Linked DNA regions of Mus musculus. The protein of the gene in region 1 interacts with the protein of each later gene in a biochemical or structural test. Links are inferred from orthologs where the notes say so. Each region holds a gene or a part of one and is shown in the gene's direction. Other genes may lie near its edges. The genes, in order: Matk, Erbb2, Sirpa and Lrrk2.

Region 1 (5,217 bases):
GCAAGAGTGCTCTTACCACTGAGTGGGCTCATCTAACTGCCATGGATGCCCTGTCTCCTCTGAGCTGTACTTCTTTTTTTGTTGTTGTTTTTTGTTTGTTTTGGTTTTGGTTTTTCGAGACAGGATTTCTCTGAGTAGCTCTGGCTGTCCTGGAACTCACTCTGTGGAACAGGCTGGCCTAAAACTCAGAGATCCACCTGCCTCTGCTTCCATGACACATGGGACTAATGCTGTGGCCACAATCCTGGCTTCCACTTTGGTTTTTGGACAGATTTTTTCACTTAACCTCCCATGCATCGGGTGTGCTAAACTGGTGGCCACTGAGCTTCAGGGATGCTGGGGTCTCAACCTCCCCTTTGCTACAATGACAGATGAGCTACTATACCTGAATTTTTGCATAGTTTAAGGTTTTGAACTCAGATCCCTCGTGTGTGCAGCAAATGATTTCCCTACTAAAACAACTCTCTGGCTCACTACCATCATTATAGCTTGACAATAACACTTCTCTTAAAAGATCTGTCTTGGGCTGGAGAGATGGCTCAGCAGGTAAGAGCACTGACTGCTCTTCAGAAGGTCCTGAGTTCAAATCCCAGCAACCACATGGTGGCTCACAGCCATCCGTAATGAGATTGGATGCACTCTTCTGATGTGTCTGAAGACAGCTACAGTGTACTTACATATAATAAATAAATCTTTTAAAAAAAAACTGTCTTGAAAAAAACAAAAACAAAAACAAGGAAATGTCCTCTGTACCCTGATCTTCTCATGCTCCTGCCTCAGCTTCTCCCAAGGCTTGGATTGCAGGCTATGTCCTTCAACCCCAAGGGCCAGTGCCGTTTCAACACATATACTTCTCAGGTAGCCCAGGCTGGCCTTAAATTGACTACGTAGCTGAGGATAACCTTAACTCCTGATCCTTCTGCTTCTGCCTCTCCAGTGCTGAGGTGACAGGCCTGTGACACCACAGTGTGTCACCCATTGAGCCCCAGTCCCCACTTTTGGATCTTTGCTAACTGTAGGTACTAGAATAAACATCTGTACAAAGTCCACTGGTAAGACAATTGGAGGAGGTCTCGCTAGGCCCGTGCCAGAGCGAGTCAGAAAGCAGTTGGTTACTGCAGAGCACTTGGACCACTACTGCACCCGTGGGGCATCTGCCGGCAGTGTGGGTGGTGGCTGATGGTGACAGGAGGGAGGGAGCCTGTGACTCAGACACTGTCATCAGCAATAGGGTCCGAGAAAAGTGGAACTTTGGGCTGCCTTGGTTCCAAGTCTCTGGGCCTCCCTGGCCAAGGACTCCTCAGTGGGTACCTGCATCTGCCTGGGGACTTGTGATTAAGGACTGTGGCTTCTGGCCGTGTCATGTCCATCAGGGTGCTTCTAGGCACCTCTGCCCAAACGTGCTTAATTACTTAATTGGGTTTTATTTGCTTTTTTTTTTTTTTTTTTTTTTTTTTTTTTTTTTTTGAGGCAAGTTCTTACTCTGTAGCTCTCTATTTTAGCCCAGGCAGGGTTCCAACTCACAGAGATCCTCCTGCTTCTGCCTCCGGAGGGCTGGGAGGATGTTTGAGTGCTCCACAGCTGGCATGTCTGAAAGTACAGGCAGACCAGGCAGGGCCGCAGCTTGCCTTGGTCTCCTTCCCGGACAGGGAGCTCCTTCCTACTCCTAGCACCTGCGCGCGTGCCCGAGCCATTCCGCGCTCCCAGCTTTCCCAGGGTGGGCGAAGGAAGGCTAGGATTCAGCGGGGACCCGAGAGCACCCGGCACTTGGTACTCAGCACTCTGCCCGGACGGAGTGGGAGGCGCAGCGGGAGGAGGTGGCAGCGCGGTCTTAGTGAGACCGGCGCTAGGACCCGCGGGGGCTCCGAGCCGGGTCCCCTCCATCCTTGCCCCAAAATGAGGAAGCCTTGCAAGTTGCTCCGAGTTGAGCCACTGGGTGCTCGACCCGCTGGCAGGGACCCTCCGAGGGTCGCGCCCTAAGCAGGTGAGCGTGTGTGCGTGGGTGGAGGGGGACACCACTCTCGAAACGGTCCTGGACCCGGGGGCGTCGGGTGCAACGGGCTGGTTTTTGTTTTATTTTGGTTTTTTTCTGGGTGCGGCGTGCAAGTCTCTGAGTGCGCGAGTCCCGGTGGTCACTGCAGGGCCCTTGTGCACCACAGGCACCAGCACAGGTGTACGCGTCTCACTGGCGCCCTTGTCGCACACACGGGGGTGGCTGGTGGCACCTGTGCCCAGATGCACGTGCGCCTCCGCCTGCGTGGCTGCCGTGCAAACCCCACTGAGTCTGAGGCCAGGAGCGCACCCCAACCTCCCGCCCTGCCCCCCTGCCAGCCACCAGCCGGGGATCCGGGCAGCCCTGCAGTGCCTGCGCTGGGATGGGGTGGGTCCCCTCAAGATGCTTCTTTGGTGACCCGTTGCGACCCGAGGAGCCAGGAGCTATACGGGAGCCTGGCCTCCTCAGGTTCCGCTTAGGGTCAGATTCCCAGGAATGACCTTGAGTCACGGCCCCTGCCCACAGCCTCCTCTGCCCACGCCCAGGAAAGAGGAAGCCACAGGCCCAGTTCTTTCTCACACACAGCCCTGGCTGCCACCTGGGCCAGATCACTCCATTCCTGACTCTGGGCCTCAGTTTCCCTTCCCGAGCAATGGCAAGGCGAAGCTCCCGGGTCTCCTGGCTGGCCTTTGAAGGCTGGGAATCTAGGGACCTGCCTCGGGTAATGATCACTGTCCCTAAAGCCAAGGGCTGCAGAGGGGCTCCACACCTAAGCCATCCAAGGGATGATTTGAGGGAGGCGCTTTGCTTCCTGGATGCTGCTGCCACCAGGCCAGACCCTGAGGAAAGAGCTGGACCTGGGGACACTCCCAGCATGACACTGCCTTCCTTCACAGGTGAGCCCTAGATTGTTCGGAGCTTGGCACCCCGCGCCTGCTGCAGCTAGGATGCCAACGGTGAGTGTGGGGCCCTGAGTCACCAAACCTTTTCAACTGTCCCCTTTTGGGGGGGAACATGCCCCTCCCCACTTGAGCAAGCACCCACACCTGACAGTCCCCAAGGACCCCTCTCCCCCCACCCGCCAAAATGGCTTCACGTGACTATAATTCTGCCTCTCTCTATAACTCTGTTTCCCTCCCCCCTTCCTTTCTGTATTAGACATTATCCCCAGGCCTCTATTCTTTATTTTAATTTATTCTTGAGACAGGGTCTCAATGTGTAGGTATGCCTGGCTTGGGACCTGAGAGTCTCCAGGCTAGCCTCAAACTCAGAGATCCACTTTCCTCTGCTACCCCCACCCCTGCCCTGAGTTCTGGGATTACAAGTGTTGGCCAGCACTCCTGGCATCATCATCTTTTAATTTTTGAGACAAAGTCTCACTGTAGCCCAGGATGGGCCTTTGGCTGGTTTGGAGTCCTCCTGGCTCAGCTTTCTGAGAGCTAGGCTACAGGCCTGTGTCTTCACTATTCCCTTGTCCGGTCTTCTATCCTCACCAGCCCCAGCTTTCTCTCAGGTCTCTCTGTCCCTCCCAATTCCCACTTGTCCCTGTGTTCAGTCCCTGACATACCTCTGCCTCTGTCTCCTTCCCAGCAGCGCTGGGCCCCTGGGACTCAATGCATGACCAAGTGTGAGAACTCTCGCCCCAAGCCCGGTGAGCTAGCCTTTCGAAAGGGTGACATGGTGACCATCTTGGAGGCCTGTGAGGTGAGAGGGGAGCTGGAGGGTAGGTGGTGTGCCTTGGGGGTGCCAGGGCCGACACCCACCAGCTCCTTCCCCACATCTGTTCCCTTCCTGTACAGGACAAGAGCTGGTACCGAGCCAAGCACCATGGCAGTGGGCAGGAAGGGCTGCTGGCGGCCGCTGCTCTGCGACAGCGGGAGGCCCTCTCCACAGACCCCAAGCTCAGCCTCATGCCGTGAGTGGCACCCTGGGGGGTGGTGTGAGAGGCTCAGCCCCCTCTACCCCTGCCTTACACAGCCCCCTCTCCACACACATCCCTACAGATGGTTTCATGGCAAGATCTCCGGCCAGGAAGCCATACAGCAGCTGCAGCCACCCGAGGACGGGCTGTTCCTTGTGAGGGAATCAGCTCGTCACCCTGGAGACTATGTCTTGTGTGTCAGTTTCGGCCGTGACGTCATCCACTACCGTGTTTTGCATCGAGATGGGCACCTCACCATCGATGAGGCCGTGTGTTTCTGTAACCTGATGGACATGGTGGAGGTGACGTGTGGGGCAAGGCTGGGGAAGGAGGGATGGAAATATGGATGGTGGCCCCAGGAACTGTCACTTCTTTCTCTAGAACTGGGGTCACCTCCCCAGGGAGCTCTATGTTCACACCAACCACCCCTCAGTTTCCATTCTACAACCCCCACTGTTGCCATGGAAACCCGATCACCTTAGCCTGGCACTTAGAGGAGGAGTCTGGCAACCTCACTGAAACTTGGGGTGGGATGGTGGGAGCGGTCCTGCAGGGCAGAGGCTCATGGCCGGCGGCCTCCACAGCACTACACCAAGGACAAGGGGGCCATCTGCACCAAGCTGGTGAAGCCAAGGAGGAAACAGGGCGCAAAGTCTGCAGAGGAGGAGCTCGCCAAGGGTATGAGAGCCATACTGCAGAAGGGAGCATCCTCGTGCGCACCAGGCAGACTCCCACCTCCCAGACTCACACCCCTAATTTCATTGCTCACCCTCACACCCCAGCCTTGGCTTGGTTAAGCCCCTGCGTCTTCCAACCCTGTCACACTTATCCAGTGGGGGCTATGGAATCACAGAGACAAAAATCGCAGTGGAGAGGTGTCTGTCCTGCTTGAATCTTCAGAGTGGCGGTAGGGTGGGGGTTAGAGGTCTTTGGAAGGGAGGGAGGGCTTTCAGAGGCAACTGCAAGTCTGTGCAGAGTACAAGATTATGGAGACTATAGCCCTGAAAGATTCCAGAACCTGTGCAAACCTCTCTGTATTTCTGTGCCTTTTGTTCTGTGTGGGTCAGCAAGGGGAAGGCCCTCCCAGAGGCATGGCGGGCCACAGGGGCAGTCATACTCCTTGTCCCTAGAGGGAGGTCCTGGAGCATGGCTCAAGTCTAGGGAACCTAGGGGGGGACTGTATTCTGATGAAGGCTGGGATGGCTGTGGCTTGCAGGGCTGTAAATAGTACCAGGAGTGGGGTGTCCTTCATGCAGCCTTAGGGCAGCTGCTGGAGCAGGCACATGCTCAGGTGTGCCCAGCT
Region 2 (4,778 bases), on another chromosome or scaffold:
AAGGGTGACAAGAATGTGTTCTGCCTCGACATGGTGGCAGACACCTTGTGACCCCAGCACTTAGGAGACTGAGGCACATGGCTTGTAAGTTCAGAGCCAGTCTGGGCTATATCGTGAGGTAGCCTCAAGACTAAGTATACCAACAAATAATGGTCTGGTGACTATCAGGGACCCTGTGTGCCCCAAGATAAGCAGAATCATAGACGATTATATCATGGAGAAACACGGGTCCTGAGAACTTAGGTGCAACTGCTGCAAGGCAGGGGAAACCATGGCTCCTTGAAGAATGCTTTGGCTAGTACCTGAGAGTTTTGGGGTACATATAACTGGACCCCATTTCATATGAGGCAGAAGCCCCTGGGGTGGGCTGCACAGTGCAGATTAACAAGGTGGGTTATCTCCTGTGAAGTTTTTGAGCCAAGGGACATTCCTGTCCTTTCATGGGTTCTCTTCAAGCTTCCTCCTCAAACTAGTCCCCAGTCTCTGATTCTGGCTCTTGTTTCCAGCCCAGTGACATTCATCATTGCAACTGTGGTGGGCGTCCTGTTGTTCCTGATCATAGTGGTGGTCATTGGAATCCTAATCAAACGAAGGCGACAGAAGATCCGGAAGTATACCATGCGTAGGCTGCTGCAGGAGACCGAGGTGAGGCGTGCCGAGGGCCTCCTAGCACCCCCTTGGCTTTGCAGCTAGCTGGGCATTCACCCTACCACCCTCTCGCTCCAGCTGGTGGAGCCGCTGACGCCCAGTGGAGCTGTGCCCAACCAGGCTCAGATGCGGATCCTAAAGGAGACAGAGCTAAGGAAGCTGAAGGTGCTTGGGTCAGGAGCCTTCGGCACTGTCTACAAGGTCAGGAGAGGACCAGTTCTGGCATGGGTGGATCTGGGGGAGGGGCATGGTCAAGAGACTGGAGTGGGCCAAGCTGGAGGCTGGGGACGGCTACTCCTCAGTGTCTTAATGGGGGCCTGACTCTAGTCCCTTTCTTTTCGCTCAGGGCATCTGGATCCCAGATGGGGAGAACGTGAAAATCCCCGTGGCCATCAAGGTGTTGAGGGAAAACACATCTCCTAAAGCTAACAAAGAAATCCTAGATGTAAGCCCCCCCCCCCCCCGCTAGGGAAGCCCTCCCCCCTTACCCTCCCCCTTGGGAATGTGAGGAGCCCTCCCCCCTTACCCTCCCCCTTGGGAATGTGAGGAGCCCTCCCCCCTTACCCTCCCCCTTGGGAATGTGAGGAGCCCCCCTTTAACCTCCTCCTTGGGATTGTGAAGATCACCCCCCGTTTTTGTTTTTTTTACCCTCTCCCTTGAGAATGTGAGGAGCTCCTAGGTGCAGATCTGGGCTGCTTTTTCCTCATTGGGGTTTGACTCTTCATCTTCCTAGTCTGGAGGCCCTGGCTGTAGCCAGTGAGGGAGGGTGAGGGTCTCTGGGAGAGTAGAGTGGATGGAAGTTGATGGTTTCCTGTATCCCTCTGTTCCCTTGTCTGCAGGAAGCGTACGTCATGGCTGGTGTGGGTTCTCCATATGTGTCCCGCCTCCTGGGCATCTGCCTGACATCCACAGTGCAGCTGGTGACACAGCTTATGCCCTATGGCTGCCTTCTGGACCATGTCCGAGAACACCGAGGTCGCTTAGGCTCCCAGGACCTGCTCAACTGGTGTGTTCAGATTGCCAAGGTATGTGCTTTGGGGGTTGCTGGCTCTGCAGATCTTTTGGGTGCAAATCCCTGCCTTCATTCGGGGCCAGGATGAGGTGGGAGTACCCCTAAGGTGTGATGTAGACTCACGTGCCACACGGATGCCCTTTGTCCAGGGGATGAGCTACCTGGAGGAAGTTCGGCTTGTTCACAGGGACCTAGCTGCCCGAAACGTGCTAGTCAAGAGTCCCAACCACGTCAAGATTACCGACTTCGGGCTGGCACGGCTGCTGGACATTGATGAGACTGAATACCATGCAGATGGGGGCAAGGTTGGAGGAGGGAGAGGAGGAGGGAGAGGTGGGGCGGGCTGGATTGGTATCTGACCTTTCTTTGGGATAACGTGGAAAAGGGTCACCTCCCTACCACACCCAGTCAGGACTTCTTACTCTGCATCCCCAGGTGCCCATCAAGTGGATGGCATTGGAATCTATTCTCAGACGCCGGTTCACCCATCAGAGTGATGTGTGGAGCTATGGTGTGTGGAGGCTGTAGATGCGTTGCTGGGCAGGGTGGGATGCAGGCAGAAGAATGAGGGTGGGGATAGGAGGAAGGGGAGGAAGGTTGTCTATGTCTACCCAGTGCAGTCTTATGGCCACCTGGGGAGTGAGGAGACTGGGTAGACCCCACCTCTTGGCACAGCCCCTCCCTTTGCACACCCAGACTTCCTCTGTCCCCCGACTCCTGACGCCTGTCTGTCCTAGGTGTGACTGTGTGGGAGCTGATGACCTTTGGGGCCAAACCTTACGATGGGATCCCAGCTCGGGAGATCCCTGATTTGCTGGAGAAGGGAGAACGCCTACCTCAGCCTCCAATCTGCACCATCGACGTCTACATGATCATGGTCAAATGTGCGTGGCAGGGCTGAGCCTCAGGCAGGCAGAGAGGAAGGGTGGTAGACCTGTGTGCGGGCGCTTACAGGCTGGGGGATAAATGGGAGGTGTCCTGGAGGGAGCCTCAAAGGTGCCTTACCTATTCACAGTGGAAGTCCTGCCAGAGGACATCTGTGGAGAGGAGAGAGGCCAGTCTAAAAGGGGACCCTAGAAACGCTCCAGGGTTCTGCCTCAAGATCCCAGAGTCCAGTTGTGCTCTGCCACGGGAGGGCTTTCAGCTTAGCCAGGGTTGTCTAGGCCAGGCTGGTCCTGGGACAAGGATGCTGAACTTTTTTCCGCCTTAGGTTGGATGATTGACTCCGAATGTCGCCCGAGATTCCGGGAGTTGGTATCAGAATTCTCCCGTATGGCAAGGGACCCCCAGCGCTTTGTGGTCATCCAGGTACTGGGCTTTCCCACACCATACCTGCTCTGACAGCATCCTCCCTCCTGCAGGGATAGCCCCTGCCTCTAGCCAAAGCTCGGTGAACCCTTCCAGGGAACTAAACACCAGGCTGGGAGGGCTGTCACCTCGTGTCTCCCCTTCCTTCCTAGAACGAGGACTTAGGCCCCTCCAGCCCCATGGACAGCACCTTCTACCGTTCACTGCTGGAGGATGATGACATGGGGGAGCTGGTCGATGCTGAAGAGTACCTGGTACCCCAGCAGGGATTCTTCTCCCCAGACCCTGCCCTAGGTACTGGGAGCACAGCCCACCGCAGACACCGCAGCTCGTCGGCCAGGGTCAGTGCCCACCTCGGAATAGGGATGGTCCTGCCCTTTGAGCTCCCCCACCCTCACCTTTCCTGAAGATTCCATTACCATGGCTGCTTTCCAACCCTTGGGGCCCCACTCTCTCCATCACTGCCACCATCGTGACCTGTGTTTCTCTCCTGGGACCCCGTTGTTCCCCTCGCAGACTTTTGAGTAGCTCCCATCATGACCTTCTCTTACCCCAGAGTGGCGGTGGTGAGCTGACACTGGGCCTGGAGCCCTCGGAAGAAGAGCCCCCCAGATCTCCACTGGCTCCCTCCGAAGGGGCTGGCTCCGATGTGTTTGATGGTGACCTGGCAGTGGGGGTAACCAAAGGACTGCAGAGCCTCTCTCCACATGACCTCAGCCCTCTACAGCGGTACAGTGAGGATCCCACATTACCTCTGCCCCCCGAGACTGATGGCTACGTTGCTCCCCTGGCCTGCAGCCCCCAGCCCGGTATGAAATCCAGGCCCGAGAGATTGGGAGGAGAGGGGAGTTGAGAACCCTCAGGCTACACCCACTGAGGGGCAATGATGGGGCAGGAATATCTTGGACCCTTTCCCTAACAACATCTCTTCTCTCCTCAGAGTATGTGAACCAGCCAGAGGTTCGGCCTCAGTCTCCCTTGACCCCAGAGGGTCCTCCGCCTCCCATCCGACCTGCTGGTGCTACTCTAGAAAGACCCAAGACTCTCTCTCCTGGGAAAAATGGGGTTGTCAAAGACGTTTTTGCCTTTGGGGGTGCTGTGGAGAACCCTGAATACTTAGCACCCAGAGCAGGCACTGCCTCTCAGCCCCACCCTTCTCCTGCCTTCAGCCCAGCCTTTGACAACCTCTATTACTGGGACCAGAACTCATCGGAGCAGGGTCCTCCACCAAGTACCTTTGAAGGGACCCCCACTGCAGAGAACCCTGAGTACCTAGGCCTGGATGTGCCAGTATGAGGTCACATGTGCAGACATCCTCTGTCTTCAGAGTGGGGAAGGAAGGCCTAACTTGTGGTCTCCATCGCCCGCCACAAAGCAGGGAGAAGGTCCTCTGGCCACATGACATCCAGGGCAGCCGGCTATGCCAGGAACGTGCCCTGAGGAACCTCGCTCGATGCTTCAATCCTGAGTGGTTAAGAGGGCCCCGCCTGGCCGGAAGAGACAGCACACTGTTCAGCCCCAGAGGATTACAGACCCTGACTGCCCTGACAGACTGTAGGGTCCAGTGGGTATTCCTTACCTGGCCTGGCTCTCTTGGTTCTGAAGACTGAGGGAAGCTCAGCCTGCAAGGGAGGAGGCCCCAGGTGAATATCCTGGGAGCAGGACACCCCACTAGGACTGAGGCACGTGCATCCCAAGAGGGGGACAGCACTTGCACCCAGACTGGTCTTTGTACAGAGTTTATTTTGTTCTGTTTTTACTTTTGTTTTTTGTTTTTTTTTTAAAGATGAAATAAGGATACAGTGGGAGA
Region 3 (4,778 bases), on another chromosome or scaffold:
ATGGCTGGAGAAGTGACCCAAGCCCTTGGAGGAGCCCAGAAGATCGTGAGTTGGATCCCAGACATTGAACGGTTGGAGATTGATTTTTGCTTTTGATTGTGACTGTGCCCTGATATTTTCCCTCTTGAAGGAAGAAACTGTTTTAGTGATGCCCACAGTTAAGAGACTTTTAATTTAAAAAGACTTTGGATTTTTAAAAGAGATGGATATTTTAAAGAGATTGAAATTTTAAGAATATGTAAAGACTGTGGGACATTTAAAGTTATTTAGACCTTGGGGATGAATAAGAATGTAAGGGTTGAGGCTTACTAGTGATGTGTTTGTGTGTCAAGTTGACAAGGGGTCAGTTGTATTGGCTAGTTTTGTGTCAACTTGACACAGCTGGAGTTATCACAGAGAAAGGAGCTTCAGTTGAGGAAATGCCTCCATGAGATCCAACTGTAAGGCATTTTCTCAATTAGTGATCAAGAGGAAAGGCCCCTTGTGGGTGGGACCATCTCTGGGCTGGTTGTCTTGGGTTCTATAAGAGAGCAGGCTGAGCAAGCCAGTAAAGAACATCCCTCCATGGCCTCTGCATCAGCTCCTGCTTTCTGACCTGCTTGAGTTCCAGTCCTGCATCCTTTGGTGATCAACAGCAGTATGGAAATGTAAGCCGAATAAACCCTTTCTTCCCCAACTTGTTTCTTGGTCCTGAGGTTTGTGCAGGAATAGAAACCCTGACTAAGACAAATGGTCAGTGTTCTTAACCACTGGGCCATCTCTCCAGGCCCCAGAAGATAAATATTTTTTAAGTACTAAATTAGTTATCTCAGTGGAAGAGTTGAAACCCACCCACTATGCTTTTGGCTAGTCCCACTCTCCTCTGAGCCTTGTCCTACAGAAGGAGTTCACCCTAACTACCCCATCATGGGCACAGAGAGAGCAGCCAGTGCCAGGCTCTAAGAACTCAATAGATGGTGACTTCAGCTTTTTCCTGGTATCTGTAGGATACCCAAATCCAAAGATGCTTAAGGCCCTCATCCAGGATGGGGGAGATTTGCGTGTAACCTACACACATCCTGCCATCTATTTTAAATCATCTCTGGGTTTCTTATAATACTTAATACGATGCAAATGCTATGTAAATAGTTGTTCTATGTGTTGTTTAGGGAATAGTGACAAGAAAAAGTCTGTTACTATTCAGTACAGATGCAGCTTTTTCAACAATATTTTACATTTGCAGTTGGGTTAGATTTAAGCACAGGGAGTCCCCAGGGCCTGACGGATGGCTCTTCACTGCTGCTGGTGTCCTGATGACTTGACTTCTTCAAGTGACACCTCCTTTCTGTGCCCTCGACATATTAGGCGGATATTAGGGAGCAAGTATGTGTTGGCAGATGGAAACGTGTTGTGTTTGCTGTCTGGAAGTGATGCTGGTTGCTTATGAGCAGTTTGGATTAATCCCCAAGGGACACTGCCTCCCTCCTAGTCACCCATGAGTCCATTCAGGACCAGAAGAAGCGTGTCTGCTTGCTTGGTGGGGCTGCTCGCTGCTGTCTCTTTACTAATTAGAAATCAAGAGCCACCTTTGGCTTTCTTAACATAGAAGTGATCTTTGTTTCCAACTCTATAAACAAAAGCTCTCCAGATTGAAAGCAAAAATTCCCTTTAGCCTCTCTCTTTCAAATATGGGACTTGGCCTGGGAAAAGCCTACTAGGTTGTAGAGAGAGAAGAGGAAAACCCACGTAGTGAATTCCCAAGTTCTTACAGGGAGGATGTAAGAATAAAGTGTAGGGCTGGAGAGAGGCTCACTGATTGAGGAGCTTGTACTGCGCTTACCAAGGATCTTAGTTCAATTCCCAGCACCCACGCGGCTGGGTGACTCACAACCGCCTGCGACCACAGCTCCAGGGGATCCAGTGTCCTCTCTGCTCTCTTAAGGAACTCACTCATATACACAGACACATTAAAAATTTTTTTAAATAAATATCCAGGTCAAGGTCAGATCTGTGTGTCTTGTTGAGGAGCATCTCTGTGTGTCTGTCAGTCATCTGAAGCAGGAAGCCTCCAGGGCCTCATCTCTTCCTCACCGCGTCCAGAGAGCAGAAACCTTGCCTCCCATTTCATATGCGTGGCTCTGGGCAGTGTAAACATCTCAGAGCAGCCACTGGGATCCTACAGTGTTATTTGTTTCCTGTGTTTACTTCTGCAAACACTTTTCTCTAAGTTGGCAGAGTTTCCAGGAATGCAGTTAAAAGTAGTTAAAGAATGAGATAGGTCAGCAATCTTGGAAATCCCTGAAGCAGAGAAGATTTAGACCTCGGGCCTGGAGTTCCTGGCCTTGCCTTACTGCCTGACTGACCCCTCCATTTCATGAAACCTCTGCATCCTCCCCAGATAGAAGGCTAAGGACATGGTCATTCCAGCTTCATCAGGAGGGAGATTAATGAATAGTGTCACCAGTCTAGAGACGCCATACGGTTTAGTAGTAGAATATGCACTGAGTGTGCATAAAGCCCTGGGGCCAATCCCCCATGTTCCAGTGTGATGACAGTATCTAGGCAGACGACTTACACCACCAGTTCATTTGCTTGGCCATCACAATCATATTTCTTGTCTATAAATGCTCCTTTAGCCAAACCTTCTCCACCGGAGGTATCCGGCCCAGCAGACAGGGGCATACCTGACCAGAAAGTGAACTTCACCTGCAAGTCTCATGGCTTCTCTCCCCGGAATATCACCCTGAAGTGGTTCAAAGATGGGCAAGAACTCCACCCCTTGGAGACCACCGTGAACCCTAGTGGAAAGAATGTCTCCTACAACATCTCCAGCACAGTCAGGGTGGTACTAAACTCCATGGATGTTAATTCTAAGGTCATCTGCGAGGTAGCCCACATCACCTTGGATAGAAGCCCTCTTCGTGGGATTGCTAACCTGTCTAACTTCATCCGAGGTAGATGTCCTTGACTTCTAGCCCAAGTTCACAGCAGCCATTACCCTATGACTAGCACCATGCTGGTAGTTGCATTTCAATGGCAACTATAATTCCTGGGTACCCAGTGTGAGCCACGCCCCCTTTGCCTGGTAGTTTTCATTTATTTTGTTTTAGGTACTGCATGCATTGACATCATTCATTATCACCATACCAGTAGCTACCAGTTCCCAGACAAGGCACCGTTTGTATTCTGGGTACTGTGCTTAATGCTACCAGTTCCCAGACAAGGCACCGTTTGTGTTCTGGGTGCTGTGCTTAGTGATTCCATTTGTATGAGACCCACACTGCCTGAGTACGCAATGCATGCCTAGTAGTCTTGTTTGTTTGCTGTGATGGTGGGAGAGGCTCAGCTCTGCAGCCCCTCCCTGGGATCACAGTGCAGCTTAAGGTTAGAGCTTTTGCCTGTACTGTTTCAGTTTCACCCACCGTGAAGGTCACCCAACAGTCCCCGACGTCAATGAACCAGGTGAACCTCACCTGCCGGGCTGAGAGGTTCTACCCCGAGGATCTCCAGCTGATCTGGCTGGAGAATGGAAACGTATCACGGAATGACACGCCCAAGAATCTCACAAAGAACACGGATGGGACCTATAATTACACAAGCTTGTTCCTGGTGAACTCATCTGCTCATAGAGAGGACGTGGTGTTCACGTGCCAGGTGAAGCACGACCAACAGCCAGCGATCACCCGAAACCATACCGTGCTGGGATTTGCCCACTCGAGTGATCAAGGGAGCATGCAAACCTTCCCTGGTGAGGCCTCCACTCCCGCTGATTGGTCTTTTTTTCTTTTTCCTTTTTTTTTTTTTTTTTGAATCTTTATCATGATTTTATCTGTTTTTCAATGTTAAAGTTATTATATCATGCTTATTATAGAGAAGTCTAGAAGTTTATAAGCATAAACACAGTTTTAAAATGGGAACTGCTTCTCCAGCATTTGTGCTCCTAGATTCAGCACTGGTAAGAGTTTGGCTCCTGTCTGGATAGGTCTGATGACACAGTGTATCAGAGAGGAGGAAAGGGAGACGGAGTCTGTCTTTGCTTGCCTCCTGCCTCCTGCTTTTTCCTCCTAACAGTTGTTCTATCCCCATGGCCCCTCCCCTACTCTCACTCTTTCTGGCCTCTGCTCCTTGCTGTGCCATCGCTTGTCCCTCCTTTAATGTCTCATAGAGGCTGGCGATCTGGCTCAGGGACAGCCAGTACTGCAAAGAGTATCCTTGTTCATACCTTCTCCTAGTGGCCATCTCCCTGGGACAGTCATCCTGTGACTATTCCTAGGCCAAGGTGTGTGTGTCTAGGACAGCTGCCATGCTCCACATCCTGTGACAGTTGACATGTCAGCAGTGCCACCTCAGCCCCTCCAGTGTGCCGTCAATCCAGAGCTCTTCTTTTGAAAGTGGCCACGTGGCAACAGCTCTTTAGCACTGTCTCAATGTTTGTCGGCTCTACAGCTGATGCTGTGTACATAGCAGAGCCTCTGAAGGGGAGAGAACAGGGGCCGCCTTTCCACTCCTCCTTCAAAGGTGCTTCAGGAGTTCCATGAGCCTGTGTTGTGTTCCTTTACCCATGACTGATTCCTTAAGGATGCATAGACCGTGCAGATAGGAAGTGTCCATGATGGCTCTATCACTGACTTGCTGTGTGATCCTGGACAAGCCAGTGCCTCTCTCTGAGCCTCTGCTTGTTTGTGGGCATGTTAAAAGGGATAGATTTGTCACTCCTTGGTTGGTAAGGACCATGACTGTCTTACCCAACACCACCTTTAGAGCACACAAAACACAGTAGGGAATCAGTAAAGAAATAG
Region 4 (4,778 bases), on another chromosome or scaffold:
GTTTAGTTCAGCTCAACTGTCCGGATTCAAATTTCACTGCTGCCCCTGTGCTTTGGCTGAACTGGAATCACCTCTACTCTCAAAGATCACATCCCTGGTGTATCCCCAACCTTTCCATGTGCTTGCCCCCATTTGCATCCCTCCTCCCTGATGAGCTCTTGCTTGGTCTGCTTCCGTCCAAATGCTGCCTCCTGTGTGGCTGCTCTCCTTCCACCCAGGGAAGTTCCCTGGCTTCTCTTTGTGCTTTCACTGCTCCAGGCCTTTCCTTCACAGCAGTTACCCTACTGCTTTTTAATGTAATATCTTAATTCCATTGTTCACAGTGGTTCTCCATGAGCGGTGATCAAAAATTGCTAGGGAGCTCAGTCAGTCTCATGCCCAGGCCTTGCTTCGGGCCAATGAAATCAAGACAACTAAGAGGATTCTGGCTTCAGTTTCAATGCTTTAATGTATTATGGTATTAGATGATTCTAAAGCATAATCATCATTAAGATATACTCCAGTATATTACAAGTCAGTACAGATGAGTGGTAGTTTTGCAATATTTATGTGTTTACTAGCATGTGTAAGTATTTGGATAGCCTCCTTTTTCTGTGATATTCACTTTTTAGAGAAGTATACAATCCTTAAATATTTTAGAAGCAGAGACATCCATTTGATATAGAGCATTTGATGGCATTGTGGGTATGTATTGGTACCTTGTGTGGATGGAAAACAGCCATGAAGAGCAGCCTCACCCAGGAGTTCATTTTCCTAGAGAGATGAAGACTCACATCACATAAGGCACAGGGAAACAGTTGCCTTGTTCTAAGGGTATTTACTGCTGTGCTCTCCACACACACAGAGGTAAGAGCACTGATCAGGGACAGCGTCATTACAGTACCCTATAGTTAGTGCTGTGTTCCATGACTGGAAGACACATGTAGTCCTGAAAAATGTCTGCTTTTAGAGTCTGAGACTTGTTTTGTGTCTCTGTTCTGCAACATGCCAGTCATGTGGCCTGGGAGTGAATTATTTACCATTTGTAAGATGTATTCTTTTTGCATATCTAGGCACTGAGATTCATCTTTTTTTATAAATTTATTTGCATTTCTTATGGTAGGACAGAACGTGGGGCCCTGTGAGTGCTAGGTGACGTCTGTATCATTGGATTATGCCTGCAGGGATGTAATTTTATGGTTAAGGATCAACACAAGACAACACACGAAACTGTTGCGTGGTTCTAAAACCATGTGTTTATGTTCATTCTCACGGAAGTCTTTATTGAAGACTCAGCAAACACTTGAGCAAAATCAATGAAAACAATGGCTCTCTGGCAGGAGGGGATATTTTCATCTTCCTTAAAGAACAGAAAGAAAAAATGGAGGGAAAAAACCCTCCTGCCTATTAAAAGAAATATTGATTTTTTTCAATTCCCCTGACATTTCTATATATTCTGTCTAAGTCAATCACAAATTTGAAGTTCCTCACTTTTTTCCAGGTGCCCATTCAACCTTGCTAGTTCATTCTTTGTTGATCCATCCTTCTGTCCACTCAGTGAATCAAATGGGCCAGCACAGCACACACACTTCGCTATGTATGATAATGGTGCACTGAATTGTGGACATATAGGAGAGATTGGCATTTGTTTTTAGGAAGTTATATTGACAGTCTAGTGTGGGGGATACACTAATGAGTGAGACTTTATGTTTAATAGGACTATGAGAAAGATTATAGCTATGCAATTAGGGGGAAGGAAACAGCTGGCCTGTTCTCTCCCAGAGATCAGGGAAGAATTCCAGAGAAGCTGACATTAAGGTGAGCCTGGAGCATGCCATGCAGATGGGGCCTACAGTCTCTAATCTGCTTGTGAGCTATACGTGACACTTATGTGTTAGGTTAAAAGAGCAATATTTGAAAATGCTTTCTATTTTCTTCTGTTTTCAAGGAGAATAAATAACAAGTATCTAATTTCTCAAGCTCTGTTAACGTTGTACTCATTTGAATCTTTGTGGAAGGTTTTTTTTTTTTTCATATTTGACTGACTTACATTTACAAAGCTAGGGGGTTCTTTGATGTTTGGAGACATTGCCACTGTAATTTATCTCCACGTCTTTTTAATTCTAGGTACAAAGAGCCAGTTCTCAGGTTTCCCCAACACTCATGGCAACAAGGATTCTGTTGACATGTCTAAAACTTACAGACACCATATTTCTTTGAGGATTTAAGAGGTCGTGTAAAATTCCATACAGAATCAGGTTGACCTAAGCTGCAAAATTGTACCGTTTATTCTGTGGTCAAGTACAGCCCAAACCAGTTAACCAGAATGGGTTAAGTAGCCAAGTCATTCAACTGGGTTGAGAGAAAAATGTATTATAATTACGATAGCACAACTTGTTTGATTTTGCAAATAGCGTTAACTTTCTGAATATATTTTTTTCTATCTTTCTTCCCCCTCAGGTTTTCTTACGCAGCTTTCAGCGATTCTAACATCATAGCGCTGGCAGTAGACACAGCCCTGTATATTGCCAAGAAAAACAGCCCTGTCGTAGAGGTGTGGGACAAGAAAACAGAAAAGCTCTGTGAATTAATAGACTGTGTGCACTTCTTAAAGTAAATGAATTGGTTACTCTACCTCTGGTTTTACAAGTCAGGGTCCACAGAGAAAGGAATTGTGGCTTTTGTTTATTCCTGTCTTCTAGGGAAATTAAAAAAAAATATTTTGAAGAAAGTTTACTCTTTGTTAATACATCCTATGTATTTTCTTACACATATATCTCTATATCATCTCATCCCATCTCATCTCATCTCATCTCATCTCATCTCATCTCATCTCATCTCATCTCATCTCTCTATCTCTCTATCTCTCTATCTCTATCTGTCTGTCTGTCTGTCTGTCTGTCTGTCTATCAATCTTATATAGGTATAGTCTACATCATCTATATATCTATATGTTTGAATATAAGTGACTTATTTTTCTTTTGTAATTTTCAGATTTCACAGAGAGCATTGAAGCTAATTCCTTTATATTAACACGGAAATTTCATTGTATTTATAGTAAATATTTACAAGTTATAACATTCATTACAAAACAATGAATATCCATCTAATTCACTTAAGAATTTCCTAAAGTTGAGAGGTTATGGCAATCATCAATATCTTTGAAAACTTGTGCTTCAAGCAAAGGAATGTGCTTCCTGGCTTTTTGTGTTAAACAATTGAACTCTGCAGTCTTGAACTCTACCCAGAGCATAAAGCCAGCCTTCCATTTTTCCAGGTTTTCCTTCCAGTGTAGACCCTGATGCTTGCATGGTTACTGAATATGTACGTGCATGCTCTGTTCCTGTCATTAATCCCTAAACAATACAGCATAAAAGCTATTTACACAGAATTCACATTACATCAGTACAATGAGTTGTTTAAAGTTGGAGGGAGGACGGATGGAAGCTTCCTGAAAAGGCTGTGCTGTTTTTAAATAAAGAATCATAATTCCTGTGATTTTGGTAACTAAAGCCAGGGAACCTGTGTTCAGACTTCCAATATGACTGCCTTGACGCCGCCATGGTTTAAAATTTAGTAAGCTGTGCATGCCTGGGTAAATCTTTCAAGTCTCTTCAGTGCCATTAGAACGTTGAGTAAATACTTTCTTTATGGTTCTAGGGAGGTGATGGTAAAACTAAACAAGGAATCGAAACATCAGCTGTCCTACTCTGGGAGGGTGAAGGCCCTCTGCCTGCAGAAGAACACGGCTCTCTGGATCGGAACTGGAGGAGGCCACATCTTACTCCTGGATCTTTCTACTCGGCGAGTTATCCGCACCATTCACAATTTCTGTGATTCTGTGAGAGCCATGGCCACAGCACAATTAGGCAAGTTTCTTTCTTTAGATAAATCCATACTTGTTCTGTTTTTTGTTTTTGTTTTTGTTTTTGATTTTTCAAGACAGGGTTTGTATATAGCCCTGGCTGTCCTGGAACTCAACTTTGTAGACCTGGCTGGCCTCGAACTCAGAAATCCACCTGCCTCTGCCTCCCGAGTGCTGGGATTAAAGGTGTGCGCCACCACGCCCAGCTAAATCCATACCTTTTATGATGACAAAAATACCATTTTTTTTAAGTAAAATCTCTTTAAGGGGAATTCTGATGCAAATTGTAGTGCTTTCAAGGGTCACATGATGAAGCCATCACTGGGCTAACTTCTGAGTAGGGCCAGTTAACACTAGAAGGGATAGATGCTTTTAGTCTCATGAGAGAGGCAGGCAACCTCAGATGCAACCAATTTAGCTCTCAAGAGCTCTTTTCACTATATCTAAGGCAAAAGAGAAAGTGCATACAGTGTATATTTCACTCTTCATCAAATAAGTCAAATGAATGCTTAAGCTGACTGTAAGCTTCACACCCTTGTCAGCTTCCGGCTTGGCTTTTACTCTTTAAATAAATTTATATTCTTAGAGCAATGATGCACAGTGAACTCCCAAGTCCACAGTTATCTTTGCTAACTTTTAAATTTTATCCAAGCTTTGGTTCATATTCTTGTTCATATTTTTTCCACTTAAATGTGAATAAATCAGGGTACCATGTGGACTATATTTTTCACAAAGGAATTTTTTAGTATCTTCGTTAGATGACTAATTTTATTTAGAAAACAGTAATTGCCCCATGTATGCAGACCTAATGACAAAAATATTTCAGTGGGGTGTGGCACCCCAAAAGCAGGCTTGTGAAACTTTACCAAATGGGAAGGGAAACACTCCCCATAAGAGGAATAAATTTAGCACCAAAAGGAGTTTCCCCTGCCTG

The links.
Region 2: the proteins of Matk (region 1) and Erbb2 form a complex in vitro, tested with the Homo sapiens proteins (2 studies listed by BioGRID and IntAct, with this or other methods). The link is inferred for Mus musculus from reciprocal best matches to the Homo sapiens genes MATK and ERBB2.
Region 3: the proteins of Matk (region 1) and Sirpa form a complex in vitro, tested with the Homo sapiens proteins (3 studies listed by BioGRID, with this or other methods). The link is inferred for Mus musculus from reciprocal best matches to the Homo sapiens genes MATK and SIRPA.
Region 4: the proteins of Matk (region 1) and Lrrk2 interact on a protein array, tested with the Homo sapiens proteins (2 studies listed by BioGRID and IntAct, with this or other methods). The link is inferred for Mus musculus from reciprocal best matches to the Homo sapiens genes MATK and LRRK2.

Annotation. Positions count from the first base shown.
Region 1 is NC_000076.6:81,255,591-81,260,807, forward strand, and holds the start of Matk (megakaryocyte-associated tyrosine-protein kinase), read left to right. Parts: upstream 1-1,708; 5' UTR 1,709-1,984; intron 1,985-2,239; exon of another isoform or gene 2,240-2,380; intron 2,381-2,450; exon of another isoform or gene 2,451-2,645; coding exon of another isoform or gene 2,646-2,714; intron 2,715-2,889; coding exon of another isoform or gene 2,890-2,940; coding exon 2,941-2,949; intron 2,950-3,583; coding exon of another isoform or gene 3,584-3,586; coding exon 3,587-3,697; intron 3,698-3,792; coding exon 3,793-3,908; intron 3,909-3,996; coding exon 3,997-4,216; intron 4,217-4,498; coding exon 4,499-4,592; intron 4,593-5,217.
Region 2 is NC_000077.6:98,432,405-98,437,182, forward strand, and holds part of Erbb2 (receptor tyrosine-protein kinase erbB-2 precursor), read left to right. Parts: intron 1-506; coding exon 507-645; intron 646-726; coding exon 727-849; intron 850-994; coding exon 995-1,093; intron 1,094-1,487; coding exon 1,488-1,673; intron 1,674-1,809; coding exon 1,810-1,965; intron 1,966-2,095; coding exon 2,096-2,171; intron 2,172-2,397; coding exon 2,398-2,544; intron 2,545-2,870; coding exon 2,871-2,968; intron 2,969-3,120; coding exon 3,121-3,309; intron 3,310-3,524; coding exon 3,525-3,777; intron 3,778-3,908; coding exon 3,909-4,264; 3' UTR 4,265-4,778. UniProt on the Homo sapiens protein: Protein tyrosine kinase that is part of several cell surface receptor complexes, but that apparently needs a coreceptor for ligand binding. Essential component of a neuregulin-receptor complex, although neuregulins do not interact with it alone.
Region 3 is NC_000068.7:129,612,832-129,617,609, forward strand, and holds part of Sirpa (tyrosine-protein phosphatase non-receptor type substrate 1 isoform 1 precursor), read left to right. Parts: intron 1-2,615; coding exon 2,616-2,933; intron 2,934-3,391; coding exon 3,392-3,727; intron 3,728-4,778. UniProt on the Homo sapiens protein: Immunoglobulin-like cell surface receptor for CD47. Acts as docking protein and induces translocation of PTPN6, PTPN11 and other binding partners from the cytosol to the plasma membrane.
Region 4 is NC_000081.6:91,808,553-91,813,330, forward strand, and holds part of Lrrk2 (leucine-rich repeat serine/threonine-protein kinase 2), read left to right. Parts: intron 1-2,439; coding exon 2,440-2,592; intron 2,593-3,639; coding exon 3,640-3,848; intron 3,849-4,778. UniProt on the Homo sapiens protein: Serine/threonine-protein kinase which phosphorylates a broad range of proteins involved in multiple processes such as neuronal plasticity, innate immunity, autophagy, and vesicle trafficking.